Linked DNA regions of Macaca fascicularis. The protein of the gene in region 1 purifies or fractionates together with the protein of each later gene. This does not show direct contact. Links are inferred from orthologs where the notes say so. Each region holds a gene or a part of one and is shown in the gene's direction. Other genes may lie near its edges.

What was found.
Region 2: the proteins of MTA1 (region 1) and DNMT1 purify together in Homo sapiens (affinity purification with western blotting; 4 studies listed by BioGRID and IntAct, with this or other methods). This does not show direct contact. The link is inferred for Macaca fascicularis from reciprocal best matches to the Homo sapiens genes MTA1 and DNMT1.
Region 3: the proteins of MTA1 (region 1) and CHD3 purify together in Homo sapiens (affinity purification with western blotting; 7 studies listed by BioGRID and IntAct, with this or other methods). This does not show direct contact. The link is inferred for Macaca fascicularis from reciprocal best matches to the Homo sapiens genes MTA1 and CHD3.
Region 4: the proteins of MTA1 (region 1) and HIC1 purify together in Homo sapiens (affinity purification with western blotting; 3 studies listed by BioGRID). This does not show direct contact. The link is inferred for Macaca fascicularis from reciprocal best matches to the Homo sapiens genes MTA1 and HIC1.
Region 5: the proteins of MTA1 (region 1) and SIN3A purify together in Homo sapiens (affinity purification with mass spectrometry; 3 studies listed by BioGRID, with this or other methods). This does not show direct contact. The link is inferred for Macaca fascicularis from reciprocal best matches to the Homo sapiens genes MTA1 and SIN3A.
Region 6: the proteins of MTA1 (region 1) and BCL11A purify together in Homo sapiens (affinity purification with mass spectrometry; 4 studies listed by BioGRID and IntAct, counting the BioPlex papers as one, with this or other methods). This does not show direct contact. The link is inferred for Macaca fascicularis from reciprocal best matches to the Homo sapiens genes MTA1 and BCL11A.

The regions. Positions count from the first base shown.
Region 1 is NC_088381.1:173,602,952-173,608,187, forward strand, and holds the start of MTA1 (metastasis-associated protein MTA1), read left to right. Parts: upstream 1-1,735; 5' UTR 1,736-1,949; coding exon 1,950-2,010; intron 2,011-2,157; exon of another isoform or gene 2,158-2,359; intron 2,360-2,420; exon of another isoform or gene 2,421-2,624; coding exon of another isoform or gene 2,625-2,652; intron 2,653-5,236. UniProt on the Homo sapiens protein: Transcriptional coregulator which can act as both a transcriptional corepressor and coactivator. Acts as a component of the histone deacetylase NuRD complex which participates in the remodeling of chromatin.
Region 2 is NC_088393.1:10,739,790-10,744,828, reverse strand, and holds the start of DNMT1 (DNA (cytosine-5)-methyltransferase 1), read left to right. Parts: upstream 1-1,908; 5' UTR 1,909-1,932; coding exon 1,933-2,432; intron 2,433-5,039. UniProt on the Homo sapiens protein: Methylates CpG residues. Preferentially methylates hemimethylated DNA. Associates with DNA replication sites in S phase maintaining the methylation pattern in the newly synthesized strand, that is essential for epigenetic inheritance.
Region 3 is NC_088390.1:7,968,926-7,973,387, forward strand, and holds part of CHD3 (chromodomain-helicase-DNA-binding protein 3), read left to right. Parts: coding exon 1-53; intron 54-173; coding exon 174-315; intron 316-563; coding exon 564-695; intron 696-1,902; coding exon 1,903-2,020; intron 2,021-2,229; coding exon 2,230-2,354; intron 2,355-2,559; coding exon 2,560-2,791; intron 2,792-3,091; coding exon 3,092-3,258; intron 3,259-3,707; coding exon 3,708-3,885; intron 3,886-4,366; coding exon 4,367-4,432; intron 4,433-4,462.
Region 4 is NC_088390.1:2,177,862-2,182,789, forward strand, and holds the start of HIC1 (hypermethylated in cancer 1 protein), read left to right. Parts: upstream 1-1,549; 5' UTR 1,550-1,774; coding exon 1,775-1,811; intron 1,812-2,135; coding exon 2,136-4,300; 3' UTR 4,301-4,928. UniProt on the Homo sapiens protein: Transcriptional repressor. Recognizes and binds to the consensus sequence '5-[CG]NG[CG]GGGCA[CA]CC-3'. May act as a tumor suppressor. Involved in development of head, face, limbs and ventral body wall.
Region 5 is NC_088381.1:52,631,257-52,635,718, reverse strand, and holds part of SIN3A (paired amphipathic helix protein Sin3a), read left to right. Parts: intron 1-849; coding exon 850-1,101; intron 1,102-2,307; coding exon 2,308-2,460; intron 2,461-2,604; coding exon 2,605-2,760; intron 2,761-4,462. UniProt on the Homo sapiens protein: Acts as a transcriptional repressor. Corepressor for REST. Interacts with MXI1 to repress MYC responsive genes and antagonize MYC oncogenic activities. Also interacts with MXD1-MAX heterodimers to repress transcription by tethering SIN3A to DNA.
Region 6 is NC_088387.1:61,424,795-61,429,875, forward strand, and holds the start of BCL11A (B-cell lymphoma/leukemia 11A), read left to right. Parts: upstream 1-2,021; 5' UTR 2,022-2,234; intron 2,235-2,457; exon of another isoform or gene 2,458-2,709; coding exon of another isoform or gene 2,710-2,785; 5' UTR 2,786-2,823; coding exon of another isoform or gene 2,824-2,852; coding exon 2,853-2,907; intron 2,908-3,411; exon of another isoform or gene 3,412-3,628; intron 3,629-5,081. UniProt on the Homo sapiens protein: Transcription factor. Associated with the BAF SWI/SNF chromatin remodeling complex. Binds to the 5'-TGACCA-3' sequence motif in regulatory regions of target genes, including a distal promoter of the HBG1 hemoglobin subunit gamma-1 gene.

The DNA.
Region 1 (5,236 bases):
ATGGTTTCGGCTCCAGGGTTCATGCAATTCTCCTGCCTCAGCCTCCTGAGTAGCTGGGACTACAGGCACGCACCACCATACCCAGCTAATTTTTGTTGTTGTTGTTGTTGTTGTTGTAGTTTTAATAGAGATGAGGGTTCACCAAGTTGGCCAGGCTTGTCTCGAACTCCTGACCTCAGGTAATCCTTCTGCCTTGGCCTCCCAAAGTGCTGGGATTACAGGCGTGAGCCACCGCACCCGACCGGATTCTTCTTAATTCTTTGTTTTTATTGTTTGACTTACCTGAGGTCTTTGGACTTTGCCTCTGAGCTGGCTTAAGGGCAATCCACCTTTTTCACTGGTCTGGAGTGGGGAGGCAGAGTAGGGGTCGGCTGGAGGAACAGGGCTCTGTGCTGTCTTTTGAGAGTTTACTAAACGTCACTCTGCATGGTAAGGGGTGTGTCCTCTTCGCTGCGGTGTCCTGGCTTGAAGTTCAGATTGTCTCCCTGGGACACCAGACCCTGCGCCGTACTCCCTCCTAAGGACAGCTTTGACTGTCTCCCCTCCAGCAGTCAGTTCTCTCCACCCCCAACGGGAGAAGGAGCAAGGCTGGTGTCTGCAGGAGTCTCCCCTCCAGGCCAAGGCCAGGGGAGAGTGTGCATGTCACTGTCAGGATGTGTCCTGGTGGCGTGGCCGGGTTTTCAGGGTGAAGCGCCTCCGTTTCTGGGATGGCAGCGGAAGCAGGCACTACACACACAGCTTCGGGGGCTCTCCCCATGCCTCCTAGCTGCCTGGCACTTTCTGTTGTTTCTGGCTAACTTTCTGACCATGCCAGGAGTTGGTGGAAGGAGATCTCAGGCCGCAGCGTTGCTTTCCTGCTGAGGAGACAGAGGTAGGCCGGGGCTGTAGGACAGGGGAGGCAGCAGCCCCACCTTCTTTCTAGGGAGACACTGCCTGTCTGTCATTGCCCCTCTCCTGCACCTGGCCCCTGGCTGTCTGCTCTTCCCACCCAATCACCAGCAAGCCAGCTCCTGTTCCCTGCGGCCCGTAGGATGTGTCCTGGGACCCACAGCCCTCTCTCCCCAGAGACAGCACTGCCTTGCAGCTTCGGTTCCTGGCCCTGTGCTAACCCTGGCAGGGTTTTCCTTTCTAGTCTGCTCTGCAGCCAAGACATTGTGGCCACTGCTCTCCTCGGGACCCCCACCTGGCTTTCTCCCAGCACATGCTGTTTTCTGCCCACCTGGCTGGTGTCCTGTGTGCCGGATTCCCTATGCTCTGTCCCCAGCACCCTGACCACATCTGTCCCACCTGCCTAGATCTTGAACCGTGGGCACAGGGCTCCCTCCTGATAGCCCTGAACACTCCGCTCCATGTCCTACAGGGAGGGATGTCCCAGGTAGATGTCAGCTCCCTCCAGTCACTGACCTCCAGCATCTGAGCAGGCAGGGCCGAGACCCATGGTGCTGCTCAAACCAGCAGCCTGGAGCCCCAAGACAGCTCCTTTTCCTCACCTCCCCCAACACTGATGTTGCACCTGTCTCCAAGCCACTGTGGGACCATCTGTTTTTCTCCATCTGGGAAGCCCCCTTCCCACCTCATGCTCTTCCTGGCTGGGGCGTCTGGGTCACTGGACTCTCCTCTCGTTACACCTGTGCGCGCACGCACACACGCACACACGCACACACACACACACACACACACACACACACACAGGAGGGCATCCTGACAGGTGGTGGGGAGGGAGGGCAGCTGCCTCACTGTGGAAAGGGCACGGCCGCTCCCGGACTCCAGCCCTGTTAGGGCTGGGGAGGTCAGCAGGCGCTGGGTTCCAGCCTCAGGTGGGGTCTTCGGAGGTGGCCTTTGGGCACAGGCACCTCCTCTGTGGCCTTCTCACCAGGTCACAGTTCAGGGAGGCTTTGCCGCCTACGGAGCCTGCCCACACCAAGGCGCGCACGGTCACCGGTCCAGAGATGCCATGCGGGCTGGGCGGCGAAGGCCAAGGACACACGCTGCCTGGTGTCGGGGGCAAAGGTTAGGCCTGGAAGGGAGGTGTGGGGTGGGGACCCCGAGGCCAGGGCTGGGCCGCTGAGCTTCAGGGCCCTTGTTGGGGGTCAGGGGGGAATGCCGGAGGACCCCAGCATCAGGAGGAACCCCCTGGAGAGTTATGGCAGGACTCACCTGTGGGGCACAGGAAGAATCACCAGGGAAAGGACCCTTGTGGAGGATCCCCCTCTACCCCCAGGGCACTAGTGGAGGATCTACCAGGGGGGTCTGGTGGAATGGCCCACCGGGGAAGCGGCGCGCGGGGAGGACTCGGGGGCGCCGGGAGGAACTGTCCGGGAAGGGGCGCACGGGCCGCGGGCGGCGCGGGGTCGGTAACGGCCCGCGCGGTGGGCGGCGGCGCCCGAGGCCCCTCCCCGCCGCCCGCGGCCGCTCCTCCTCTTCCTCTCCCGCCCGCGCCGCGGCCCTCCCGTCCCTGCGCGGCCTCGGCGGCCTCGGCGGCGGCGGCGGCGGCGGCGGCAGCAGCGCGGCCCCTTTAAACGCCTGCGGCGCCCCCCGCCCCCGCCATCGCGCCTCCATTTTCCCGGCCGCCCGCGCCGAGCGCCGCGCCCGCCCCGGGCCCCTCCGCCGCCGCCGGCCCGGACATGGCCGCCAACATGTACAGGGTCGGAGGTAAGGCCGCACCGCCTTTATGCCCGGCCCCGACCCGCCCGCAGCCCCCACCCGCCGCCGCTGCCGCCTCCCCCGCCCCTCCGCCCCGCAGGCCCCGCGCCCCCCGTCCGCCCCCGCGGCCCCCGGCTCCTTCCCGAACCTCCCCCCGCAGTGCTCACCCCAACCCAAAATGGCCCCGCGGGTCGGCCCCATCGGGGGCGGGCGGGGCGCGGCGGCCCGGGGGTGGGGGGCGGCCCACCTGTTGGGGCCGAGGGGGCGGCCGCGGGGGTGGCGGAGGGGCGCGGGCGGCCGGGGACATCCGGGGGGCCGGGGCCGGGAGCCCCCCGCGGGAGCACGTGGCCTTGGGAGGCGCCGGCTGCCGGTCTGGGAGCAGGAGTTTTGGGGCTGTGGGGTCTCCCCCGGCCCGCGGCCCTGTGCTAGGACTCCGGTGCGTCCCCTCTGCGGATGGGGAGCCCCGGTGAGGGGCCGCGTTCCTCCCTAGAGCCCTCCTGCAGCCTGGCCCCGGGGCTTCCCCCCGCAGGGCTCTCTCAGGGGGTCTTCAGCAGGGAGCGAGTATCCCGAGCACGCCTCTAAGTCCCCCCAAACTTTTCCCTGCCTCCCGCTCACCTCAGCCCATTCGGGAGGCGCTTTGCTAGGGTTGGGGAGAGACCGGAGGGTCCCCTGGGCAGGGGCCCGGGGCTTCCTCTCTGGGTCAAGCCTCCTGTTGCTCGGGCCCCGCGGGCCTGCAGCTTTGGGCCTTGCCCTCCTTCGAGTGCCTGGGACTCCGTGGGGTCTTTCACAGGGAGATGGGGGGTCGTGCGCATTCCATCATTCCATCAGTGCCTCCCTCCCCGGGACTCTTGAGACCCCTCCCTGCCTGTGACCCTCTCGGCAGGTGCCCATTGCCTCTCCCACCTGCAGCCTGCGCTGCAGGAGGGAGCTGGGGTCTCTCTCGCTCTGGCCTGATCCCCATGCCCGTGACCCCGAGTGCCCAGAACACGCCGTGTCCCTCGAGCGTGGCCTCTGCTGCCTTGGACGCCGTGTGGTCTCGCCGGCCAGCCCTGTGACCTTGGGGACGGTGGGAGCCCCCTACACCCCGTCTGTGAGATGGGCGGTCAGTCTGCATCAGCAGCTCTGGGCCTCCCCTGTCCTCTCACAGAGGCAGTGGGCCTGTGCCCATCCAGCGTCAGCCCCCTCCCACAGCTTCATACAGCTTTGCCAGGTCCCTGTGTGGACACAGGTGGGCTCAGCCCACCCCACGCCTGGGGCAGCCTGGGTGTGGGGTCCCTTGAGGGAGCGACCTGTTTCTTCCTGTTCTTTCTCCCCACCTGGAGATCCCCCTTCCAGCCTGACATGAGGGCCCAGTTTCTCATCCCGGTAGAGAGGATGCCTACTGCCTGGGCTCCAGCCGGGCCCACTGCGCATGGTTTTGGGATTGGTCCCAAGAAGATTTCTCCCTGCCCCCACCCAGGCTGGGGTTGGGGAGTGGTGGCGGCTTTGGGCTCTAGGGCTGGGGACACCCCGACCCCGACTCGTGCCTTCCCAGTGGCTGCATTGCTCGGCCTTCAGGCCCGCCTGCCTGTGAACTTGGCGCCAGCCTGGCTGCCCCCCCACCGTCCCGTGCCTCGGTTTCCCCATGGTGTGGGTGAGGACCTCGTCTCTCAGTCATCCTTCTGTGCCCTGTGGCAGCTGTGCTGTGGCTGACGAAAGCCAGGACCCTGCCTTGTCCCGTCCCGGAGGTGCAGCTCCCCTGGGCCCTGCACAGGCTTGGGAGGAGCCCTGTGTGGGTCTGCACCGCCCTCCCTGAACCCTCTGTCCCTCTGTGCCTGGAGGCCCGTCCCGGGGCCTCACTGACCCACAACACTCCAGTGCTGTGAGGCTGGGTGGCCTGGACCCCCAGGCTGTGGCGGAGGTGCCCACCATGCCTGGCGGAGATGTTGCTGGTCTCTCTCTGTGATGAGGAGCATGGCAGGTTGGGTGCTGTCTGCTGGCAACACAGCCACGCGTGGGATCCAGACTGCTGCTGTGTGTGCAGTCCGTGGTCACTGTGGCCAGGTGTGCTCAGGGTTGTCAGGCCCTCCGTGTGCCCACCCCAAGGACGTCCTCTCCCTGCAGGTGAGACTGTGGGCCTCTCCCGCTCTCCTCTGACAGTCCCTATAGGAGAAGCGGCGTTTATCCCTGGCTTCTGGACCCGAACCCCGGGTTCCGGCAGGACCCCGGCAGGGCCTGTGGTTGCAGTGAGCTGGGTGTTGTAGGTTGGCTTCCTGTCTTGGTGCTCGCCCCAGGAGGTGGGTGTCTGGATTCTTGAGCCCCCAGACAAGAGAGAGGAAGGTGTCTCCTGAACAGCCTTTGTCCGTCTGTCACCGGCTGCCTGGCATGGGCCCCGTTTGGGCGGCCGTCCTGGCCTGTGAGAGCTGCTGGCAGGGACTCAGCCTGGGAAGGGGCTTGCTCCTGCCCCCTCCCCCCCGCAAAGGGACCTCATGTGTAGAGGCGCCAAATTTAGTAAAAAAAAGTACAGGATGCCCAGGCAAGTTTGAGTTTCAGATAAACAGAAATTTATTAGTGTAAGTATGTCCCAAATATGGCATGGGACATACTTGTCCCA
Region 2 (5,039 bases), on another chromosome or scaffold:
TTTGTAATTTTTAGTAGAGACGGGGTTTCACCATGTTAGCCAAGATGGTCTCGAACTCCTGACCTCATGATCCACCCGCCTTGGCCTCCCAAAGTGCTGAGATTACAGACGTGAGCCACCGTGCCCGGCCGCACCATTTGTTAAAGACACAATCTTTCCCCCGTGTTCTGGTGCTTAAAAAAAAAAAAAAATTCCGGCCGGTTGCGGTGGCTTAGGCCTATAATCCCAGCACTTTGGGAGGCTGAGGCAAGTGGATTGCTTGAGGTAAGGAGTTCCAGACTACCCTGGCCAACATGGTGAAACCCTGTCTCTCCCACTAAAAATACAGAAATTGGCCAGGCGTGGTGGAGTACGCCCGTAATCCCAGCCTACTAGGGAGGCTGAGGCATGAGAATCGCTTGAACCTGGCAGGCAGAGGTTGCAGTGAGCCAAGATCTCACCACTGCACTCCAGCCGGCGTGACAGAGTGAGACAAGGTCTTACCCCGTCGCCCAGGCAGGAGTCCAGCGGCCCAATCATAGCTCACTGCAGCCTATACTGCCAGGGCTCAAGCCATCCTCCCACCTCAGCCTCCTGAGTAGGTAGGATTACAGGTGTATGTCACCATGCCCAGCGAATCTTTGTATTTTTTGTAGAGATGGGGTATCCCTATGTTGCTCAGGCTGGTCTTGCACTCCTAACCTCAAGCGATCCTCCCACCTGGGCCTCTCAAAGCACTGGGATTACAGGCATGAGCCACTGCGCCTGGCATAGTGCTTCTTAATTTATTTTTACTTTTTATTTTTATTTTTTTGAGACACGGTCTTGCTCTGTCTCCCAGGCTGGAATGCAGTGGCGCAATCATGGCTCACTATAACCTCTGCCTCACTGGTTCAAGCGATCTTCCTGCCTCAACCTCTAGAGTAGTTATACTACAGGCACACGCCACTACGCCTAGCTAATTTTTGTTTTCCTTTTTTTCTTTTAAGAGATGTGGTTTCTCTTAAACCAGGAGGCGATCCTCCTGCCCTGGCCTTCCAAAGTACTGGGATGACAGGCATAAGCCACGTGGTGCTTAAAAAGGGGAACAAAAAACCCCACACACACTGGGTATAGAAGTGGCACGGGTCTCTATACACTGTGAGATTCTTGGTACTAGCTACAAATTCTGTGCATACTCAAGATTTTCTAGAGTAGGTGCAATTACCCCGTTTTACAGACGAGGACACAGAGGCTGAGTCCTAGTGACCCATCCAAGGTCGTACAGCCAGCAAATAGATGGAGGTTGAATTGGAACTGAGGACTTTACTCAAGGGCTCTCACAAGCCCTTGGGGACTTCTTGCTGCTTTATCCCCATCACACCTGAAAGAATGAATGAATGAATGCCTCGGGCACGGTGCCCACCTCCCAGCAAACCGTGGAGCTTGGACGAGCCCACTGCTCCGCGCGGGGGTGCGTGACCGCCTCGCGCATGCGTGGTCCCTGGGCATGGCCTGCTCCGTTCCATCCTTCTGCACAGGGTATCGCCTCTTTCCTTTTGGTACATCCGCTCCCCCCTCCCCGCGCCCGGACTGGGGTGGTAGACGCCGCCTCCGCTCATCGCCCCTCCCCATCGGTTTCCGCGCGAAAAGCCGGGGCGCCTGCGCTGCCGCCGTCGCGTCTGCTGCAGCCTCCGAGATGCCGGCGCGTACCGCCCCAGCCCGGGTGCCCACACTGGCCGTCCCGGCCATCTCACTGCCCGACGATGTCCGCAGGCGGTAGGTACCGTGGGGGGAACGTGGACTCGGGGGGCCAGGCAGGGCGCTGGGTGGGGGGTCGCTTCCCCTCGGGGTGGCCAGTGGCCGCTGCTGACAGACGGGCGCGCATGCGTGGGGTGGTGCGGCGCGCAGCGGCAGTTGGCGCGGGCAGGGTGGCACTTCCGGTCGCGCGTGCCCGGGCTGTTTGGCGCCAAAATGGGCTGTGGATTCCCCCGTAGCTCCCTGGTGGCTAGAAACTGGGCGGGGTGGGGGTTCTCTTTTGATCCCCAAATACAGCAAGCTTTGGGTTCGTCTCCGGGGTCCCCTTCTCCAAGCAGCGGTGGGCCGGGCTCCTGCCTCCAGCTTGGTAGCACAGGAAGTGGGCAGCCCGCGGCCAACGGACACCCCTCGGGCACCGGCACTTCGGCCTCCACTTCCGGTGTCCGGCCCGGTCCCCGGTGGTGCTTCTCTGGTGGGGGGTCCCTCAGTGCCTTTCCCCCAAAGCTGTGCATCCCGATGGCGGCCTCCAGAGACGGACGTCACCGGTCGGGGCCCGGGCTGGGCTGGCTCATGTTTGAGAGCCCAGCCTTCCGTAGGGGGAACTCATTCTGTCACTTGGGACTGTGTGTTCCTTGCTCCTTGGGAAAGTCTGTGTTTTGGCAGGAACTTGAACCGTGCAATGCCGCGCAGGGCCCGGGAAGCGTGAAGGCTCCATGGTTGGTCTTTTCCTGTAAATCTGTGCCTGTGAGCCGTGGGCATCAGGGAAGTCTTGCTATTGAGAACTGGCTACACTTTCGTGTGTGTTTGCGTGTGTTCGTGGGTGTGTTCTTTAGTGTGTGTGTCTAATGTTGGAGGCCCTGGCTTTAGCAATTCATGCCTCTGTCCGACTTCCGTGCACAGGATCAGTGGGAGCAGTGGTCCCAGCCCCTTGTCCATGAACGCCATCTATTCATTCCTAACAACTTGTTCAAGGGAGGTGTGCATGAGGCATAGGAACCCTCACCAGGCCTGGACACTTCCAGCTGAATCTGTGAAAGCACTCTGCCATTTTTCTATTTCCTTGGGCTTGTTAACTGGCCTGGTTGGGCCTTTGGGGAGGGATGGATATTTGGTTCGACCCCCTACTTTTTTTTTGAAGGCTGGGTGCTGTGGCTTACGCCTGTAATCCCAGCAATTTGGGAGGCAGTGGCGGATGAATCTCTTGAACCAGGGGTTTGAGACCAGCCTGGGCAACATGGCAAAACCCCATCTCTACTAAAAATACAAAAATTAGCCAGGAGTAGTGCCATGTACCTGGAGTCCCAGCTACTCAAGAGACTAAGGTGGGAGTATCACTTGAGCCCCAGAGATTGAGGCTGTATATAGTGAGCCGAGATCGTGGTACTGCACTCCAGCCTGGGTGACAGAGTGAGACCCTGTCTCAAAACAAACAAACAAACAAAAACAACAACAACAACAATTTTATTTTTAGAGATGAGTCTCACTCTGTTGTCCAGGCTGGAGTGCCCTGGCACAATTATAACACACTGTAGCCTTGAACTGCTGGGCTCAAGGGATCCTCAGCCTCCTGAGTAGCTGGGACCATAGGCGACCACCACCATGCCCAACTGACTTTTAGTTTTTTCTGTATACATGAGGTTTCACCATATTGCCCAGGTTGGTCTTAAACCCCTGCCCTTAAGCAGTCCTCCTGCCTCTGTGTCCCAAAGGTTAGGGTTACAGGTATGAGCCACCATGCCTTAACTACAACTTTTTTATTTTGAGATGGAGTCTTGCTCTGTCACCCAGGCTGGAATGCAGTGGCGTGATCTCAGCTCATTGCAACCTCCACTTCCGGGGTTCAAGTGATTCTCCTGCCTCAGCCTCCTGAGTAGCTGGGATTACAGGTGCCCACCACCATGCCTGGCTAATTTTTGTGTTTTCAGTAGAGTTGGGGTTTCTCCATGTTGGCCAGGCTGGTCTCGAACTCCTGACCTCAAGTGATCCACCCGCCTCAGCCTCCCAAAGTGCTGGGATTATAGTCAAACCACTTCTTAACCAGTTAGTGGGTATATACCTTCTTGAATCATCTGTACCAGTATCCTCCCAAGATAAAACTTGATTTAAAATGGAATGGAAGTGAAGTTACAAAAGTACCTGGCTTCATGATGTTAGACCCAATTCAGAGAAGTTTGGGCCCGGCCTTCCTTTTTTATTCCTTTTTTTAATTTTGTAGAGACGGAGTCTTGCCATGTTGCTCAGGCTGGTCTTCAATTCCTGGCCTCAAGCGATCCTCCTGCCTCAGCTTCCCAAAGTGTTGGGATTACAGGTGTGAGCCACTGTACCTGGCCTGCCCAGCCTTCTTGAAAACATGGCCTCCACTGGCTCGATGATCTTAAACAAGCATATGCCACCTCTATATCCATAGTCTAGGAATAATGACATGTGTTTTCAGGTGGTATTGGGTTAAATGAGAATATGCATGGCACATAAAGGTTCATATGCTAGTGGCTAACTTAGCTTGTTTTTTAAGTTTTTTCTTTTAAGACACGGGATCTCACTGTGTCACCCAGGCTGGAATGCAGTGGCATAGTCATGGCTTACTGCAGCCTCAAACCCATGAGCTCAAGCAGTCCTCTTGCCTTAGCCTCCTGAGTAGCTGGCACATGCCACCATGCCCAGCTAATCCTTAAAAAAAATTTTTAGAAGGCCGGGCTCAGTGGCTCACGCCTGTAATCCCCGCACTTTGGGAGGTCAAGATGGGTGGATCACCTGAGGTCAGGAGTTTGAGACTAGCCTGGCCAACGTGGTGAATCCCCATCTCTACTAAAAAAAAAAATTAGCCAGGTATGGTGGTGGGCACCTGTAAACCCAGCTACTCAGGAGGCTGAGGCAGGATAATCGCTTGAACCCAGGAGGCTTGAACGGAGGAGGTGGAGGTTGCAGCGAGCCGAGATTGCGCCATTGCACTCCAGCCTGGGCAACAGGAGCAAAACTCTGTCTCAAAAAAAAAAAAAAATTTTTTTTTTTAGAGATGAGGGTCTTGCTTTGTTGCCCAGGCTGGTCTTGAACTCCTGGGCTCAAGCAGTCCTCTGCTTTGGCCTCCCAAAGGGCTGATATTACAGGCGTGAGCCACTGGGCCCGGCCATTATTCCTCAAGAGTTCTTAAAAGTGGATGCTGGAGGAGTTAACTGCCAGGAAGCAGGAATTCCTGCTAAGGTCTGCTGCTTGCCAAAGCCTTTCCCTTCAACTGGGGTTGCCAATAGGCCACTGGCTTAGGGGCTCTGTTGGCCCTGTGCAAATATTTTGTTTGGCTGAATTGGAATACCATTAGGTGAGCCTTA
Region 3 (4,462 bases), on another chromosome or scaffold:
ATGCCAGCCAAGACAGAGCTCATCGTTCGGGTGGAGCTAAGCCCCATGCAGAAGTAAGATGCAAGACAAGCTGCCTGCAGTAGGGGTTGGGGATTGATGGGAGCATTCCAAGTGCAATATCATAATTGCTTCTTTTTTTTATGTTTCTTTTACACCCCTTTCCTGGCCTTTAGGAAATACTACAAGTACATCCTGACTCGAAATTTTGAGGCCTTGAATTCACGAGGTGGTGGGAACCAGGTGTCGCTGCTTAATATCATGATGGATCTTAAGAAGTGCTGCAACCATCCATACCTTTTTCCCGTGGCTGCTATGGTAGATACACAGAGCAGGAGCTGATCGAATGTCCGCTCTCAGAAAACATGGGTGGGGAGTAGTGGGGAGGTGGGTATTGAGCCACAAGGGTGGAGTGCGCTGGAAGGCCAGGGACTGGGTCTCTGAGAGCAGTAGGAATTGGGAATGTGTGGAAGCTGGATCTGGGCATCTGGCCTTCTAGGCATGGTAAGAATATGGGGAGATGTTTCCAACTGACCCTGTCCTCCTCCTCTCTCCTCCCTTTTCAGGAGTCCCCCAAACTCCCCAGTGGGGCTTATGAGGGTGGGGCACTTATTAAGTCATCTGGGAAGCTCATGCTGCTCCAGAAGATGCTGCGAAAGCTGAAGGAGCAAGGACACCGAGTACTCATCTTCTCGCAGGTGACCTGTGCCCTTAGCTGTCTACATCTGCTTCCTCTTCCCTCTCCTCGTCCTCCACACTTTAATTTCTTACCGTCTTCCTGTGGCTGCTCCAGTGTGACAAATGAGGAGATTCCTCCTGTAAGAGTTTCTTTTTTTTTTTTTTTTTTTTTGAGACAGAGTTTCTCTCTTGTTCCCTGACTGGAGTGCAGGGCCGTGATCTGGGCTCACTGCAACCTCTGCTTCCTGGGTTCAAGTGATTCTCCTGCCTCAGTCTACCGAGTAGCTGGGATTACAGGTGCCCACCTCCATGCCTGGCTAATTTTTTGTATTTTTAGTAGAGACGAGGTTTCACCATGTTGGTCAGGATGGTCTCGATCTCCTGACCTCAGGTGATCTGCCCACCTCGGTCTCCCAAAGTGCTGGGATTACTGTATAGCAAGTTTATTCTTGGCCTCTGATGCCTGTTCTTAAGGTTATTGGAAGTTGAAGTCCAGCTTTAGTTCCTTTTCAGCTGCATGGGGGAAGGGTGAGGGTGAGCCTCCTTAGAGATTGGTATTATTTCTTCATCTTATTGGCAGGTGAGGGTGAAGGCACAGACCCTCTGGAAATGTGATGAAAACTCTGGGTCCACTCTCCAGACAACTGTACATACAATGACACAAATTTGTATGGATTTTCAGGGGGTTCCTAGATTTCCCTGAAACCTTTTCATGGGTCGCAGAGAACCTCTGCCTTAGGAGAAACAATCTTAAATCAAGAGAGTGTGACAAGAGGGCCAGACATGGTAGCTCACACCTGTTATCCCAGCACTTTGGGAGGCTGAGGCAGGAGGATCACTTGAGGTCAGGAGTTTGAGACCTGGCCAACATGGTGAAACCCCGTCTCTACTAAAAATACAAAAATTAGTTGGGCGTGGTGGCGCACACCTGTAGTCCCAGCTACTAGGGACTCTGAGGTAGTAGGATCACTTGAACCCGGGAGTGGAGGTTGCAGTGAGCTGAGATGGCACCACTGCACTCCAGCTTGGGCAATAGAATGAGACTCCATCTCAAAAATAAAAATAAAAAAGAGAGTGTGATAAGAATGTGGAATAAAGAGGAGCTTAAGACAGGGCAGGGGTTCCGGTGTAAGGATCAGGGTTGAGTTTGTATAAAGGAGTAGTTAGAATAAGCAAGCTATCCCACCACCTCATTATTCCAGACTCCATCCTTTTCTCTTGCTCTAGATGACCAAAATGTTAGACTTGCTTGAGGACTTCTTAGACTACGAAGGCTACAAGTATGAACGCATCGATGGTGGCATCACTGGTGCCCTGAGGCAGGAGGCCATCGATCGGTTTAATGGTGAGGGAGATACACTGGTCCCTGGTGGGTGTGGGAGGCCTGAGAAACCTGTGATAGGTCTCTGGGATGGGAGGGGGACTGGCTTGGGGGACATTGGAAACTTAGGCTTTGAGTTGGGGGCATGGTTGTTTGTCATCAGAGAACGTCTAGGAGCAGGTGGACAGACCTACTGGGTACAAGAAAAACCTGATCCAACTCTCACCTCCTAGCTCCTGGAGCCCAACAATTCTGCTTCCTCCTGTCCACCCGAGCTGGGGGCCTGGGCATCAATCTGGCCACTGCTGACACTGTCATCATCTTTGATTCTGACTGGAACCCCCATAATGACATCCAGGTGGGAACTCGTATCCTGGAACGCCTGCACCATTTAGCAAGGAGATGTGGGTTCATGGAGGAGGGTGTCATGTTCCGGGGTCAGAAATAAGTCGCTTCTAGGAGGAGAGAAGACCCTTCTTCAGCAGCCTTCTTTCCTGAGCATGTGGGCAGCTTCTCCCCGGCCACTCCCCTGGCCCACCCGCCACTTTCTCTTGCCCCTGCAGGCCTTTAGCCGGGCTCATCGGATTGGCCAGGCCAACAAAGTGATGATTTACCGGTTTGTGACTCGTGCGTCAGTGGAAGAGCGAATCACACAAGTGGCCAAAAGAAAGATGATGCTGACACACCTGGTTGTGCGGCCTGGGCTGGGCTCCAAGGCAGGCTCCATGTCTAAGCAGGAGCTTGACGACATTCTCAAATTTGGCACTGAAGAGCTGTTCAAGGATGAAAACGAGGGTGAGAACCTTTTCTGCAGCTCCGTGAAAGCAGGTCCCTGCTCTCCCCCTGCGGAGGGAAAAACAACTCTTCTCTGTAGCCTTTGAAGGAAGGAGAGCCTTCTTTTAGTGGCTCTTGGAGGAAGGTTGACCTCTTTCTTTGCCTGTAGGGTTAAAACAAACAAAACATAAACCTTTCAACATTGGCTCCCAGGGAAAGAGCCTTCTCCAGGGCTTCTGTGAAAAGGATGCAGAGTAGAAGCTTTCCCATCAGCCTTTCTAAACTTTGGAACCCAAAGTTCCCTGTTTTCCCTCTCACCAGGGGAGAACAAGGAGGAAGACAGCAGTGTGATTCATTATGACAATGAGGCCATCGCTCGGCTGTTGGACCGGAACCAGGATGCAACTGAGGACACTGACGTGCAGAACATGAATGAGTATCTCAGCTCCTTCAAAGTGGCACAGTACGTCGTGCGAGAAGAAGACAAGGTGAGAGGCTCTGGGGGCCAGACATTATCTATCCCAGGCCATCTCCAAAAGGCAGTATCCTTTACTTGGCCTTGAAATAGGAGGGTCTGTCCCCCTTAGAACAGTAGTGGACCTCAAATAACGTCTTCGTCTAATAGGTGAGACTGGACTTCAGAGAGAAACGTAGGCACAGACAGTACTGGTAAACACAGAGGGTACCTTCTGAGACAGTGCAGGAGAAACACTGTCAGAGGGATTAGAGGAGAGATTTAGAAAACATGAGGAGAGCACGCTGCAGGTAAGAGATGGCATGGAACATGCACAATGTCCAGAAAATGTATGCAGAGTCACGAAGCTCCAGGAGTGGGGAGACCAGATTGGGCTGACGCAGCAGAGTAGGGATTTCATTGCCATGGAAAGATTAGCAAAGAAGGAGACCCCCAGTGTTCATTCATTCTGCTGCCCTTCAGATTGAGGAAATTGAGCGAGAGATCATCAAGCAGGAGGAGAATGTGGACCCTGACTACTGGGAGAAGCTGCTGAGGCATCACTATGAGCAACAGCAGGAAGACTTAGCCCGGAATCTAGGCAAGGGCAAGCGGGTTCGCAAGCAAGTTAACTACAATGATGCTGCTCAGGAAGACCAAGGTGAGGACTGCCCCAGATGCAGGCAGTAAAAGTGGGGGAAGTGATGATGAGAAGGGACTTAAGGCTGGGGCTACTTAGAGAGTAAGAGAGAAGCCTAGAAGTCAGAGCCTTTCCCTGCTAAAAGGGAAAGACGTAAGGTAGAGTCATTAGGAACTACCCGGAGGCCAGGTGGGTTTGCAGGTGATTTAAACTATTTGGTGGTTGCACAGGCATCCTGTGGACACCCAGGGCCACTGCTTAGAGTAGGTTTGGCAGGAGAACCAGAGGGGCCCAGAGACTGAAGGTGGGCGGTGAATGGAGATGCTGTAGGATATGCGGCTCCCAAGTCAGACTTCAGGCAGTGACCTGGCGTTCCCAGAAGGGCCAAGGCCAGAATAAAGGTAGACAAGTCTCGGCAGGGAGGAAGCCAGCCAGAAAGGGCCCCAGCATGGGCATATCCCGAGAGACCTCCCTGACCACTGGGCCCTCTCCACCCCCACAGACAACCAGTCAGAGTACTCGGTGGGTTCAGAGGAGGAGGATGAAGACTTCGATGAACGTCCTGAAGGTGGCATCTGTGTTCCTGACTCTTACCTCT
Region 4 (4,928 bases), on another chromosome or scaffold:
AAGGGGCGGGTGTGCGTCTGGAAACGTGCGCGCCTGCTAGTACCAGTGCCTGGAGAGGGCTGGGGACAAACCGGTTTATGCCGCGCACACCCAATCCATGCGCCTGAGTGAGGGTGGGTGTGCTGGGGAGTGCGTCCAAGTGGACAGTGCTGTGTACAGTAATGTCTACGGAGAGTTCCAGGAGAGCCTGGCTACTCCTGCCCAGGATAACCTCTCCCCCACCACCCGAGTCCGGTGTTTGCGGGCAGGACTTTTCCGAACTGGGGCTGTGAGCCTAGAAATACGTGAACGGGAGCGCTCAGCTCAAAGCCCCAGGGTTTCCGGGGCTCGCTTGTGCGGGGTCGGGGTCCCTGGTGGGCACAGGTGGGAGGGCGAACCTGCGGATGGGGTGGGCCCGGGCCCCTCCCCGCCGGCTCAGCATCTGTGCGCCTCCAGCTCAGGTGCGCGGGAGGAAGGCAGCGCCTGCCCCGCAGAGCCCCGCGCGCCCGCGAGGTGGCGCTATAGCCGCAGCAGCGCCCGCCGGCCCGGGCCGCTCCAGATAAGAGTGTGCGGAAAGCGCGGCGGGGCTGAGACGCGACCAGGACGCGGGGAGGACGGACCAGCAGGACAGACCGACCGGGGGCCCGGCGGGCGGAGGGCAGCGCAGCCACATCCCCCCTGGATCCGCCGGCAGCCGGGCCCGGGGCTTTCGACATGCCCCCCAGGTGGGTCCTCGAGCCGGGGACCGGGAGGGACGGGGGCCCGAGACAGCCCGGTCCTCGTGCGTCGGCCGCCTCGGGCGCATCCTCTGGCGCGGGTGCCCCATCGCGGCTGGCGGCTGGCGTTCAGGGCTCCGGGTGTCGTCCCTGTCGGACTCGGGACCGCCGGGCCGCGGCTCCGCGCCGGGTTCACGGCGGGGTCAGCGGCCCGGGGCCGGCTGTGCCCGCACATGGGCTGGAGAGGCGAGGGGAAGGGAAGGGAAGGGGAGCTGGCGGGCGGGGCTGGCAGGGGCGCTGCCCTGGCACAGCTCGGGGCCTGGCAGCGGCGGGTGGGGCATCGGCTAAGGGCTGCCACCGCCGCGGGGAGGGGAGCCCGGCCCTCCGGGGCCGCAGGTAACGGGCCGCGGGGCCCCGCGGGCCAGGAGGGGAACGGGGTCGGGCGGGCGAGCAGCGGGCAGGGGAGCTCAGGGCTCGGCTCCGGGCTCTGCCGCCGGATTTGGGGGCCGCGAGGAAGAGCTGCGAGCCGAGGGCCTGGGGCCGGCGCACTCCTCCCGCCCTGTCTGCAGTTGGAAAACTTTTCCCCAAGTTTGGGGCGGCGGAGTTCCGGGGGAGAAGGGGCCGGGGGAGCCGCGGAGGGAGGCGCCGGGCCCGCGCGTGTAGGGCCCAGGCCGAGGCCGGGACGCGGGTGGGGCGCAGGCCCGGGTCAGGGCCGCAGCCGGCTGTGCGCCGTGCCCGCCCGGGGCGCTGCCCCCTCCCTCCCCTGGGAGCTGCGTGGCTCCCCCCTCCCCCCCACCTGCTTCCTGCCTCAGCCTCCTGCCCCGATATAACGCCCTCCCCGCGCCGGGCCCGGCCTTCGCGCTCTGCCCGCCACGGCAGCCGCTGCCTCCGCTCCCCGCGCGGCCGCCGCCCGGGCCCCGACCAAGGGTTGACAGCCCCCGGCCAGGGCGGCGCCAGGGCGGGCACCGCGCTCCCCTCCTCCGAATCACTTCCCCCAACTGGGGCAACTTCTCCCGAGGCGGGAGGCGCTGGTTCCTCGGCTCCCTTTCTCCCTACTTGGGCAAACTTTTCCGCCCTGAATGACTTTTCCTGAAGCGGACATTTTACTTAAATCGGGTAACTGTCTCCCAAAGGGTCACTTCGCCTGAACAGTCTTCTCCTCGGAAGCCCCAGCACCCAGCCAGGTGCCCTGGGGCATGCAGGCCGGCCTGGCCTCCCCTCCACCGGCGGTCGCTCACCTCCCGCTCCTTCTCCTGGTCCGGGCGGGCCGGCCTGGGCTCCCACTCCAGAGGGCGGCCGGTCCTTCGCCGGTGCCCAGGCCGCAGGGCTGATGCCCCCGCTCAGCTGAGGAAGGGGAACTGGAGGGGGAGAAGTGCCGGGCAGGGGGCAGGCGGCCAGGGCGCCGCACGGCTCTCACCCGGCCGGTGTGTGTCCCCGCAGGAGAGTGTGCTGGGCAGACGATGCTGGACACGATGGAGGCGCCCGGCCACTCCAGGCAGCTGCTGCTGCAGCTCAACAACCAGCGCACCAAGGGCTTCTTGTGCGACGTGATCATCGTGGTGCAGAACGCCCTCTTCCGCGCGCACAAGAACGTGCTGGCGGCCAGCAGCGCCTACCTCAAGTCCCTGGTGGTGCATGACAACCTGCTCAACCTGGACCATGACATGGTGAGCCCGGCCGTGTTCCGCCTGGTGCTGGACTTCATCTACACCGGCCGCCTGGCTGACGGCGCAGAGGCGGCTGCGGCCGCGGCCGTGGCCCCGGGGGCTGAGCCGAGCCTGGGCGCCGTGCTGGCCGCCGCCAGCTACCTGCAGATCCCCGACCTCGTGGCGCTGTGCAAGAAGCGCCTCAAGCGCCACGGCAAGTACTGCCACCTGCGGGGCGGCGGCGGCGGCGGCGGCGGCTACGCGCCCTACGGTCGGCCGGGACGGGGCCTGCGGGCCGCCACGCCGGTCATCCAGGCCTGCTACCCGTCCCCGGCCGGGCCTCCGCCGCCGTCTGCCGCGGAGCCGCCCTCGGGCCCCGAGGCCGGGGTCAACACGCACTGCGCCGAGCTGTACGCCTCGGGACCCGGCCCGGCCGCCGCACTCTGTGCCTCCGAGCGCCGCTGCTCCCCGCTCTGTGGCCTGGACCTGTCCAAGAAGAGCCCCCCGGGCTCCGCGGCGCCAGAGCGGCCGCTGGCTGAGCGCGAGCTGCCCCCGCGCCCGGACAGCCCTCCCAGCGCCGGCCCCGCCGCCTACAAGGAGCCGCCGCTCGCCCTGCCGTCCCTGCCGCCGCTGCCCTTCCAGAAGCTGGAGGAGGCCGCACCGCCTTCCGACCCGTTTCGCGGCGGCAGCGGCAGCCCGGGACCCGAGCCCCCCGGCCGCCCCGACGGGCCTAGTCTCCTCTATCGCTGGATGAAGCACGAGCCGGGCCTGGGTAGCTATGGCGACGAGCTGGGCCGGGAGCGCGGCTCCCCCAGCGAGCGCTGCGAAGAGCGTGGTGGGGACGCGGCCATCTCGCCCGGGGGGCCCCCGCTCGGCCTGGCGCCGCCGCCGCGCTACCCTGGCAGCCTGGACGGGCCCGGCGCGGGCGGCGACGGCGACGACTACAAGAGCAGCAGCGAGGAGACCGGCAGCAGCGAGGACCCCAGCCCGCCCGGCGGCCACCTCGAGGGCTACCCATGCCCGCACCTGGCCTATGGCGAACCCGAGAGCTTCGGTGACAACCTGTACGTGTGCATCCCGTGCGGCAAGGGCTTCCCCAGCTCTGAGCAGCTGAACGCGCACGTGGAGGCTCACGTGGAGGAGGAGGAAGCACTGTACGGCAGGGCCGAGGCGGCCGAAGTGGCCGCTGGGGCTGCCGGCCTAGGGCCCCCTTTTGGAGGCGGCGGGGACAAGGTGGCCGGGACACCGGGTGGCCTGGGAGAGCTGCTGCGGCCCTACCGCTGCGCGTCGTGCGACAAGAGCTACAAGGACCCGGCCACGCTGCGGCAGCACGAGAAGACGCACTGGCTGACCCGGCCCTACCCCTGCACCATCTGCGGGAAGAAGTTCACGCAGCGTGGGACCATGACGCGCCACATGCGCAGTCACCTGGGCCTCAAGCCCTTCGCGTGCGACGCGTGCGGCATGCGGTTCACGCGCCAGTACCGCCTCACCGAGCACATGCGCATCCACTCGGGCGAGAAGCCCTACGAGTGTCAGGTGTGCGGCGGCAAGTTCGCACAGCAACGCAACCTCATCAGCCACATGAAGATGCACGCCGTGGGGGGCGCGGCCGGCGCGGCCGGGGCGCTGGCGGGCTTGGGGGGGCTCCCCGGCGTCCCCGGCCCCGACGGCAAGGGCAAGCTCGACTTCCCCGAGGGCGTCTTTGCTGTGGCCCGCCTCACGGCCGAGCAGCTGAGCCTAAAGCAGCAGGACAAGGCGGCCGCGGCCGAGCTGCTGGCGCAGACCACGCACTTCCTGCACGACCCCAAGGTGGCGCTGGAGAGCCTCTACCCGCTGGCCAAGTTCACGGCCGAGCTGGGCCTCAGCCCCGACAAGGCCGCCGAGGTGCTGAGCCAGGGCGCTCACCTGGCGGCCGGGCCCGACGGCCGGACCATCGACCGTTTCTCTCCCACCTAGAGCGCCCCTCGCCAGCCCGCTCTGTCGCTGCTGCGCGGCCCTGGCCCGCACCCCAGGGAGCGCTGGGGGCGGCGCAGGCCAGCCGTGCCCGGGACAACTGCAGCGTCGCCGCGGTGGCGGCTCCACCTCTCGGCGGCCTCACCTGGCCTCACTGCTTCGTGCCTTAGCTCGGGGGTCCGGGGAAAACCCCGGGACGGGGGTGGGACGGGGTAAGGGAAATTTATATTTTTGATATCAGCTTTGACCAAAGGAGACCCCAGGCCCCTCCCCGCCTCTTCCTGTGGTTCGTCGGCCCCCTCCCCCGGCTCCGCGCTGCTCTTAGGCGGGGAGGGGTGTCACTGTCGGGGCGCTCCTAGCCCTACCTCCGGCCCTTGCGACCACACCCATTCTCACTGTGAATCTCCCCGCTGGGGTCGGAGCATCGGGCAGAGTTGGGGAGTGGGGAGGGGACTGAGCCGGCCGGAGGGCCCCCCGCACCCCCACTCCCACCCACCCCGGGACTGATAATGTGAAGTTCCTCATTTTGCACAAGTGGCACTAGCCCCAGGGCCAACCCTTCCTTCCTCAACCACCAAGGGCGGGGAGTTCTGGAGTCAAGAGGGCGAAGAGCCCTGGCCTGCCAGGTCTC
Region 5 (4,462 bases), about 120 Mb from region 1:
ACTTAGATATCTATTTAAATCAACACAGCAACAATTTTCAAGGTCTTTCTCTTTACAGTTTCTGCTTATAAAACCATGAACATCCCAACAGGTGGTGACTTTGTGTAGTAGTAGTTGATAGCACAAACAGAAACCATCCTCTTATGGTCAAATTGTGCTACTGCCCACATGGTTATTTTATGAAAGTTATTTCACTTACCAGATTATATCAAGCTAAGTAGAAGATCTAATGAACAGTGATGGTGATGATGATGAAGATGGGGTGTTCTTGGTCTAGAACCACACTGTCTGACACAGTAGCCACTAGCCACATAGCACTATTCAAATTTAAATTAAAATCAGTTTTTCATTTGCACTAGCTTTCAAGTGCTCAGTAACCACATGTGGCTAGTGGCTGTATATTTAAGACAGTGCAAATAAAGGACATTTCCATCATCTCAGTTCTATAGGACAGAGTTGGCATAGAAGACTATGTGGAGCTGCTGCAACAGTTGAGGTGTCTTTTTGTTGACATCAAAAGGCTGTGTAGAATGAGATTTTTTCTATGTGTACTTGTTGAGCTACTAAGCTAAAACATTGCATATGAAAAATTCTTCACTGTAATTGTAGATGGCTCCAGTTTTAAGATTTTATTTAGAAAATGTGAGACTGAGATATTTGTATCAGCATGTTTGAAACTCTCTACAACTCCCACTGTTGCCCAGTATGATTTGTGTAGGACTAAAATGGCCTGGCCTGAGTGAGTAAATAAAGGATATACGTTGACACTTTGTTTCTCTTCAGTTTGAACTTTCCTTCTATCAACTCATCTATGCATCTGAGGAGAATAAAGACTTTTTTTCTTTTTAGCCCTCCCAACTACAAGCACATACTCCTGCCAGTCAGCAGACTCCCCCACTTCCACCGTATGCATCCCCACGTTCTCCGCCGGTCCAGCCTCACACACCAGTGACAATCTCATTGGGAACGGCCCCATCCTTGCAGAACAATCAACCTGTGGAATTTAATCATGCCATCAACTATGTTAATAAGATCAAGAACAGATTCCAGGGCCAACCAGACATCTACAAAGCATTCCTGGAGATTTTGCACACATATCAGGTAAGAAGAGTATCCATTCAGCTTGTCTTAATCAGGCCATCTAGTCAAAGAACAACTTAAGTAACCATTATTGTGTCCATTAATTCATACTGGAAATTAGCCAGTTAGAAACTACCATGCGTGTTTATAAAGCCAGTGTTTTTGTTTGTTTGTTTTTTGAGAGGGAGTCTTGCACTGTCACCCAGGCTGGAGTACAGTGGTGCGATCTCGGCTCACTGCAACCTCCGCCTCCAGGTTCAAGTGATTCTCCTGCCTTAGCCTCCCTAGTAACTGGGATTACAGGCACCTGCCACCATGCCCAGCTAATTTTTTGTATTGTTAGTAGAGATGGGATTTCACTATGTTGGCTAGGCTGGTCTCGAACTCCTGACCTTGTGATCCGCCTGCCTCGGCCTCCTAAAGTGCTGGGATTGCAGGTGTGAGCCACCACACCCATGCTATAAAGCCAGTTTTATTTGCCTGACTTGATTGCCCTGCAACATTCATTTAGGATTTTTTTTTAAGACAGAGTTTTGCTCTTTTTGCCTAGGCTGGAGTGCAGTGGTGCAATGTCGGCTCACTGCAGCCTCCACCTCCTGGGTTCAAGTGATTTGTTGTATTTTTAGTAGAGATGGGGTTTCAATATATTGGCCAGGCTGGTCTCAAACTCCTGACCTCAGGTGATCTGCCCGCCATGGCCTCCCAAAGTGCTGGGATTATAGGTGTGAGCCACTGCGCCTGGCCTCAGTCAGGATTTTTAGTCACTGTCCCATGAAATGAAACTCTGTTTTATCTGGGACAGTTAGATGGTGACTTATTTAGTCTAGTTAATCTACAGTAGGAGGAGGAGAAATTTCTAAGGTTTTATCAGTTGGTAGTGGTCCCCTGGGCATTAATATTTATTGCCCTAGGCCGGGCATGGTGTCTCACACCTGTAATCCCAGCATTTTGGGAGGCCGAGATGAGTGCACTCCAGCCTGAGCAGCAAGAGTGAAACTCCATCTCAAAAAAATTTACTACCCTAGTTTTGAAAGGAATTGTCATCCACCATCTTGCACTTTTTTCTCAACTTGAAATTTTCGTTTGTGGTCAGAACGGGTGCTGAGAACATAGACTTTCTTCTTACATGCAGCCTGAATAGATAACAGTGATTCCAGAAAGTGTGCAAAGATGAGCGACTCAAAACAGTAGCCCTTTAATGTGATCTCTTCATTTGCAATTCCTCAGAAAGAGCAGAGAAATGCCAAGGAAGCTGGAGGAAACTACACTCCAGCGTTGACAGAGCAGGAGGTGTATGCCCAGGTTGCTCGTCTCTTTAAAAACCAGGAGGATTTGTTGTCAGAGTTTGGACAATTCCTACCAGATGCCAACAGCTCCGTGGTATGTTTTTTTTTTGTAAGAGTTACACTATTTATTATTATTATCTTAGAGAAGTTGGAAAACTGTGCTCAGAAGGGGACTTTTCCTAGATGATATTTGTTTACTTTGATAAGAGTATTAATCTCTTTCATGTGTCTTAATCAGCTTTTAAGCAAAACAACTGCTGAGAAGGTTGATTCTGTGAGAAATGATCATGGAGGCACTGTCAAGAAGCCCCAACTGAACAACAAGCCGCAGAGGCCCAGCCAGAATGGCTGCCAGATCCGCAGACACCCTACAGGAACCACGCCTCCAGTTAAGGTGAGAATGGGCAGCAGCTGCTCATTTTGACACTCACAAGCAATTCTAAGGGAGAGGTACGCTAGGGGTGGTCACGTGTTCTTAAGTGCGTTAACAGTTGGGTCCTTGATATTTGGAGCAAGTTAGTATGCGTCACAGAAACTCAGTGCAAAGTTTATCTGGCTTTACAAAAGAGTATTAGAATAACATTGATTGCTTGGATTACTGTACTTTTTTGAATTCTTTATTATCTTCTTTGCAATGAGCTGCCATTTCTTTAATGTTTTGGTTGCTACTAAGAATTTCCAATACTTAAAATTTTTTTTACTTCTTTTTTTTTTGTGACAGTCTCGCTCTGTCACCCAGACTGGAGTGCAGTGGCATGATCTCGGCTCACTGCAACCTCTGCCTCCTGGGTTCAAGCCGTTCTCCTGCCTCAGCCTCCTGAGTAACTGGGACTACAGGCGTGTGCCACCACACCCAGCTAATTTTTGCATTTTTAGTAGAGATGAAGTTTCGCCATGTTGGCCAGGCTGGTCTTGAACTCCTGAGGTCAGGAGTTCCACCCGCCTTGGCCTCCCAAAGTGCTGGAATTACAGGCATGAGCCACCGTGCCTGGCCCCTTCTTATTTGATGCTTTAAATCTGCCTTGTGTTAAGAAAGAACATTCTTGAGTTTGAGAATTATTTCAGAAATAAATGATCTCTGAGGTCCTCTTGTGAGTAGAGTGCGTGTGCTTTTTGAGGTCTCTTTGGTCTAGAACCCTGTCCTGCTCAGAGTTCTTTGTTGGGTTACCAGATCTTATCTGTATCATCTAATCTCCAAGGCAGGACCTTTGGGCTGTAGCATAGGGAAGTCTTAAACTCCTATTAGTAATCCATTACATGATGTTTTTTATTACATTTAACACTGACGGTCCGTCTGCAGAAAGCACAGCTTGCTCCCTTCTTTGATGTAACACAGCTATGATAGGGAGAGGGCTAGTTATATGTATTGAATGTTGAATTCTTCAGTGAATTTCAAAGCAATATGTAATATGGAAGAGATAGATGTGTCTGCAGAATTAAATAATGACAAAAGTTTCTAATAGTAAGAGGTGTTTCTATCCTCTAATAGTAAGAGGTGACTGATAAATAGTAAGTGACTGACTACAAGGTCTCACATACTAGGTGTTACTGACACTTTTGAAGTATCCTTTTTCATTAGTGTTTGTCATGGTTTCTTTTGAAATCAAGTTGAACATAATAATGGTTTCTATTTCTTCACTTCAGTAAAGAGAATTAGTTACATGGGTAGCAAGAATCAGCTCAGTAGATACACTCCATGCTTGGATTTACGTCCTCCCACTCTTGATTACCTACAGGTGGAAAGAATATAGTGGGGGCTTAACAATTCTCCACCTACTTTCTGCATAGGCAGTGTAAGCAGAGGCTGCGGCTCTTAAGAAAGTATACTCTGAGATAGCCAAGGTAAATGTGCTACTTCTCACCAAGTTTGTGCATTTCTTCGTAGAGAGTAAGTGGTGGATTTCAAAAGTAACTTCTTGCTTGACAGGATTATATCATGGCCTGTTGGTTCCCTTTAAAAGAACAATATTAAATTAGTCTGAGGGGATATTTCTGGCAAGATAGTTATTTCTTCTATTAGAAAAATTATGCTTTTTTTTTTGAGATGGAGCGTCCCGGGTTCAAGCGATTCTCCTGTCTCAGCCTCCTGAGTAGTC
Region 6 (5,081 bases), on another chromosome or scaffold:
CCAGTTGCACTTTCTTCTTCCCTCTCTTCACCTTCCCTCCAATTGTCCCCCACTTCGTCTTCCCCCGCCACCCCCCAAGAAGACATTCTTTTGGTGACTCCAAGGCTGGTTTAACAAGACAAAAAACAGACTGTGATGGAATAGAGATGCTGACCTGCTCTGAAGAACTCAGTGAAAAGGGGAAATGGTGTCACACACAAGCTACAGAGCTTAAGTTCTAGTGAATCTTCCCGCTTCTTAAACAGAATTTGAGGTCTCACCGCCCCCCGCAAACTGGAGGGAAACAACAACAAACAACAAACCACACTGAGACAATCCCAGTCCAGCCCACATCACTCTCAATGTTGAGCATCAAAACCTCCTTTTCTTCCTTAGAGGGGTCCGAAGCTCCACCGAGCTAGGCAAGCCAGTCATTTTCTAACACAGTAGACTTGAAACTTTACTAAGACGACACAGGAATAAACAGCCGCTTGCCGGTAGGGTTGCGGGATGGGTGAGCGCGCGCAAGCCGGGGACCCTCGCTTAAAACAATAAAGCCCCCCACCGGGTGGGTGAGTTTCCGGAAACGACACCCCTTAGACTGAAGAGGGGGATGAGAAGACGGGGGTTGTGGAACCGCTCCGAGGAGAGGGAAGGAGGGCTCCTCGCTCTGTAGACACACTCACACATATCCACCTGCAGCTCAGGGTCTCGCGGGCCGTGGCGACCCGCCTCCACCCTGCACCCTCCGCACCTCCCTTGGACCTGAGTTCATTCTCCTCTCCCCCCAGCCCCTTCCGGATTTGGAATCGGACCGCGATCTCCCCGGCGGCGGCGGCGGCGGCTGCAGAGTGGTGCTGGCAGGCAGGGAGGCTGGGAGGCGGGAGGCGCCGGGGGACTTTACAGGCACGTTTCTGAATAAACTTTCCAATCGCAGGGGGTGCTGTTGCTGTACATTTTACGTAAAACTGAAAGTATCCCACGCCAGAGTGAAGCCCGCTTTTTGACAGCGGCAGCACGCGCGTGTGTGTGCGTGTGTGCATTAAAGAGACAGGGTTTTATTTCCAACAGGTCTTCCCTAATTTCCAGGGAACGTCTGCAGAAAGGCGAGAGGGGGCTGCTGGCTCCCGGGTGTGCGCCTTGGCGGGCGGCGCCTGGGGAGCGCGGCGTTGACCCGGGGCGGTCATCTCACCACCGTAGCCTCCCCGCTGCTGCTGCGAGCCTGTCGCTCTCTCTCCATTCCCCATTTTCTTTTTCCCTGGGTAACAGCACAGGAACAGTTGTGCTCTGCCCGTAAGAAACATTTTCTTTCCATCCCTCTGTGCTTTTGCAGTTGCTCTGGAGTGGGAGGGGGTGTGTCCCTCCCAGGGACCCGGCTCGGGGACCTCCCGCGGCGCCGGGAGCACATTCCCAGGGACTGGGACTCCCGGGACTGCCCGCGCTTTGTCCTCGGCCGCTCAGAGAGGTGGACGCCTCGGCGCCTCTCTCGCCCAGGCCCCCGGCGCTCCCCTCCGGGGGCCAGACTCTGGCTCCTCGTTCTTTATTCCTCGTGCTCTCTTTCCGCGACCCTTAGGAGCCGGGGACTCGGCACTTCCAGTTGCATTCAGACCCAGTCGCTTGGCGGGGCGCTCAGATCCCAGATCCCTGGCTCGGCCTTGGGGGCGCCCTCGGGCCCTGGCCTGCGCCGCCTCCCTCTCCCTGGTCCCCTCTTTCCAGGCCGCCCGGGCTCCTGGAGACTCGGGCGCTGCCCTTCCGGACCTGCAACCCTCCAAACTTGGGCTAGATTCCGCGTTGCCGTGCGCTCCCTCCCGTCTCCCCTCGCCCGCTGCGGAGCTGTAACTTGGAGGCTCAGCTCTCAACTTCGGGTGATTTTTCTTTGCTGTCCTCTCCTCGGGCAAAGTTTCCCGAGCGCAGCCGCGGGCTCGGGGCTTTTACTTCGGCCCCTGGCGTCCGCACGCGGGGAGCAAGCGCGGCGGCGGCGGGGAGGGGAAGTGGGTGTGCGTACGGAGGAGGGTGTCCGGGAGCAACTCTACCTGGCTTCCCTCCGCCCGCGCTTCCCCAGCCCGGGGCTGCAGCCTCCCGGTGCACTCTCGCTCTATTTTTTCCTTTTTTGAATAATCTTTCATTTTAGGGCCCGCGTGTGTGGGGGGGAGCAGGGCGCACGTCTTGCTCCCCCCCACCCTTTCCTCCCACCCCTGCCACCCCTTTCTTCTCTCCCGGCCACGCCACCGCCGCGGCGCTCGCTGCGGCCACTGGTGAGCCTGCGGCCCCAGCGCCCCCTCCCCTCGGCCCGCCCCTCCCCCGGGGGCCGCGTCTGGCGTCCGCGGAGCCCCCCGCCCCGCACCTCCCCCGCCCCGCACTGGCCATTGGCTTGTCCTGGTCTCTTTTTCATGTCCAGCCCCTGATGTGTGTCCATTGGTGTGAGCTTCCCCTTCCCTCCTCCCCTTCTCTCCTGCTCGCCCTGCCCATGTTTTGTGTGTCTCTGTCCATCCAGACTCCTGACGTTCAAGTTCGCAGGGACGTCACGTCCGCACTTGAACTTGCAGCTCAGGGGGGCTTTTGCCATTTTTTTCATCTCTCTCTCTCTCTCTTCCTCTATCTCTCTTCTCTCTCTCTCTCTCTCCCTTTTTTTTTTTTTTTTTTTTTTTTGCTTAAAAAAAAAAGCCATGACGGCTCTCCCACAATTCATCTTCCCTGCGCCATCTTTGTATTATTTCTAATTTATTTTGGATGTCAAAAGGCACTGATGAAGATATTTTCTCTGGAGTCTCCTTCTTTCTAACCCGGCTCTCCCGATGTGAACCGAGCCGTCGTCCGCCCGCCGCCGCCGCCGCCGCCGCCGCCGCCGCCGCCCGCCCGCCCCGCAGCCCACCATGTCTCGCCGCAAGCAAGGCAAACCCCAGCACTTAAGCAAACGGGAATTCTCGCGTAAGTAACCCAATAATAGTAATAATAATTATTAATAATCACGAGAGCGCGCAGGACTAGAAGCAAAAGCGAGGGGGAGAGAGGGGTGTGTGCATGCATTTTTAAATTTTTCACGAGAAAAACCTCCGAGAGTCGAGGTAAAAGAGATTAAAGGGGGAAAAACCCTCATCCCATCTCGAACCATTGCCGTGTATGCACTTTTGAGACAGTACGCACCTTTTAATTTTATTTAATTTTACAAAAATTTGACTCCTCCTCTTTCCTCCTTTCCGCTGCTTTATTTCTCTTTTCGAAAAGGAATGCAATGATTCCACCGCCCCCCCTCCCAGTTTTGCAAAATAATGAACAATGCTAAGGATGCGAACAACTCACATGCAAACCTGGGGGTGGGAGCTGGTGGGGAAAGGGAGGTTGCTTCCCACTCACCGTAAGAAATTGGCGGGGGGGGGGGGGGGAAGTGAGTGAGTACAAGTCTAAAAAACGATTCCCGGGGAGAAAAGAGGTGAGACTGGCCTTTGGACACCAGCGCGCTCACGGTCAAGTGTGCAGCGTGAGGAAAGTAGTCATCCCCACAATAGTGAGAAAGTGGGACTGTGGAAAGGGGCCCCCGGCGCTCCTGAGTCCGCCGAGTCGGGAGAGGGGCCGCGGCGGCGGGGAGAGCCGTGGGACCGGGAAGGACAGGAGACGCGGCCGGCACTGCCGCCTTTTGTTCCGGCCCGAGGTGGGTGTTTGTCCCGCTGCCTTTTGTGCCGGCTCCTCGCGCTTGCCCTCCCGCGCCGCCGCCGCCGCCGCCGCCGCCGCCGCCGCCGCCGAAGGGCAGGAGCCAGGGCCGGGGGAGGAGGCGGCCGGGGGCACGCGGGAGAGGGAGGGAGGGAGCCGGGACTGCTGCCGCCTAGGTTGCCGCTGCCCTCCCCTCCCGACCGAACCTCAGAGGCAGCAAGGAGAAGACTGGCACATAAACAAACAAATACATAAAAATAAAATAAATAAAACAAGGCAAGAGAATGTACAATTTCTTGCCCCCAAATCGAAGCCAAACGCTCTGCCAACCCTTTTCTGTGACGGCCTTCTCTTTGACTCCCCCACCAGCCCCCCTGCAAAAATCTCACAATCTCTAATCCAGAAAAAAATTTACAATCACCCTGTTCCCCAAAACCCCTTCAGTTGCAAACTTAGGGCGCCGGCGGCACGGAGAGGGAGAGAGGAACTCCCTCCTCTTACTATTTTTTGGAAGATTTTCAAAAAAAGTGGAAGTGGATTTTGATTGGGAAAAATCTCGTGTCTGAATGTTTACAAGCACCGCGTGTGCGGGAGCCTCCTGCCAACAAACAGACAGAGGACCGAGCGCGGCGCGGCAGCCCCGGAGCAGGCGGCGGCGGCGGCCTGGCCTCGCCCGGGCCTTGCCCCACCTCGCCGCGCCCCAGCCCAGCCCCGGATCGCCCACCCGGTGCCCGCCGCCCACCCGCCAGGCACGGCGGCAGGCCACGCAGTGACTCCGCGCTAGCCTGGCCCGCGGTCCTGGTCCGCCCCCAGCACAATGCCCAGACCTCTTCTCGACCTCCCAGACTGCGAAATCGGCTGGGTGAAACTCGGCTTTGCAAAGCATTTTTATTTTGCAAAGCAACTGTAAAAGCGCGTTCTGCGCCTCCCCTCCCCTCTGCCCTGGGTACTCTCTCAGATGTCTCTTGTCCACAGCTCGGGACCGCGAGGAGGTCACCACGTGCTTTCCCTGCCCACCCCCCACCCTGCCCGGTCTGGCCACGAGTCCCCCTGCTCCCCGAGCACGGCCAGGCCAGGTGGCGGGGTTGCCGGGAAAGGGCAGGGCAGAAGTGTGTTTGAGTATGCATTTTGAGGGTGCTGGATCCTGGGACCCCGAGCACTTCACCCTTTGGGGCTTGCCCTCTTCCCCAGGCCTGGCTCGGTCTGAGGTTCTTGTGAGTCTATATAAGAGGTGGTGGTGTTGGCTGTCTCCCGCTGACTGCGCCTGAAAGGCGGGCGGTGGGCACTTAGGAAAGTTTGGCAGCAAGGGAAAGAAAGGCGTGAGGGCCCACATTCCCCCCCTACCCAATTTATGATTCTTACTTTAAATTTTTGATGCAGTTTTAAAGGACCACCTATACTTGGTTCTGTGTTTTTTTTTTTTAAAGGGGTGGTGGTGGGGGGTGCGCACAGGG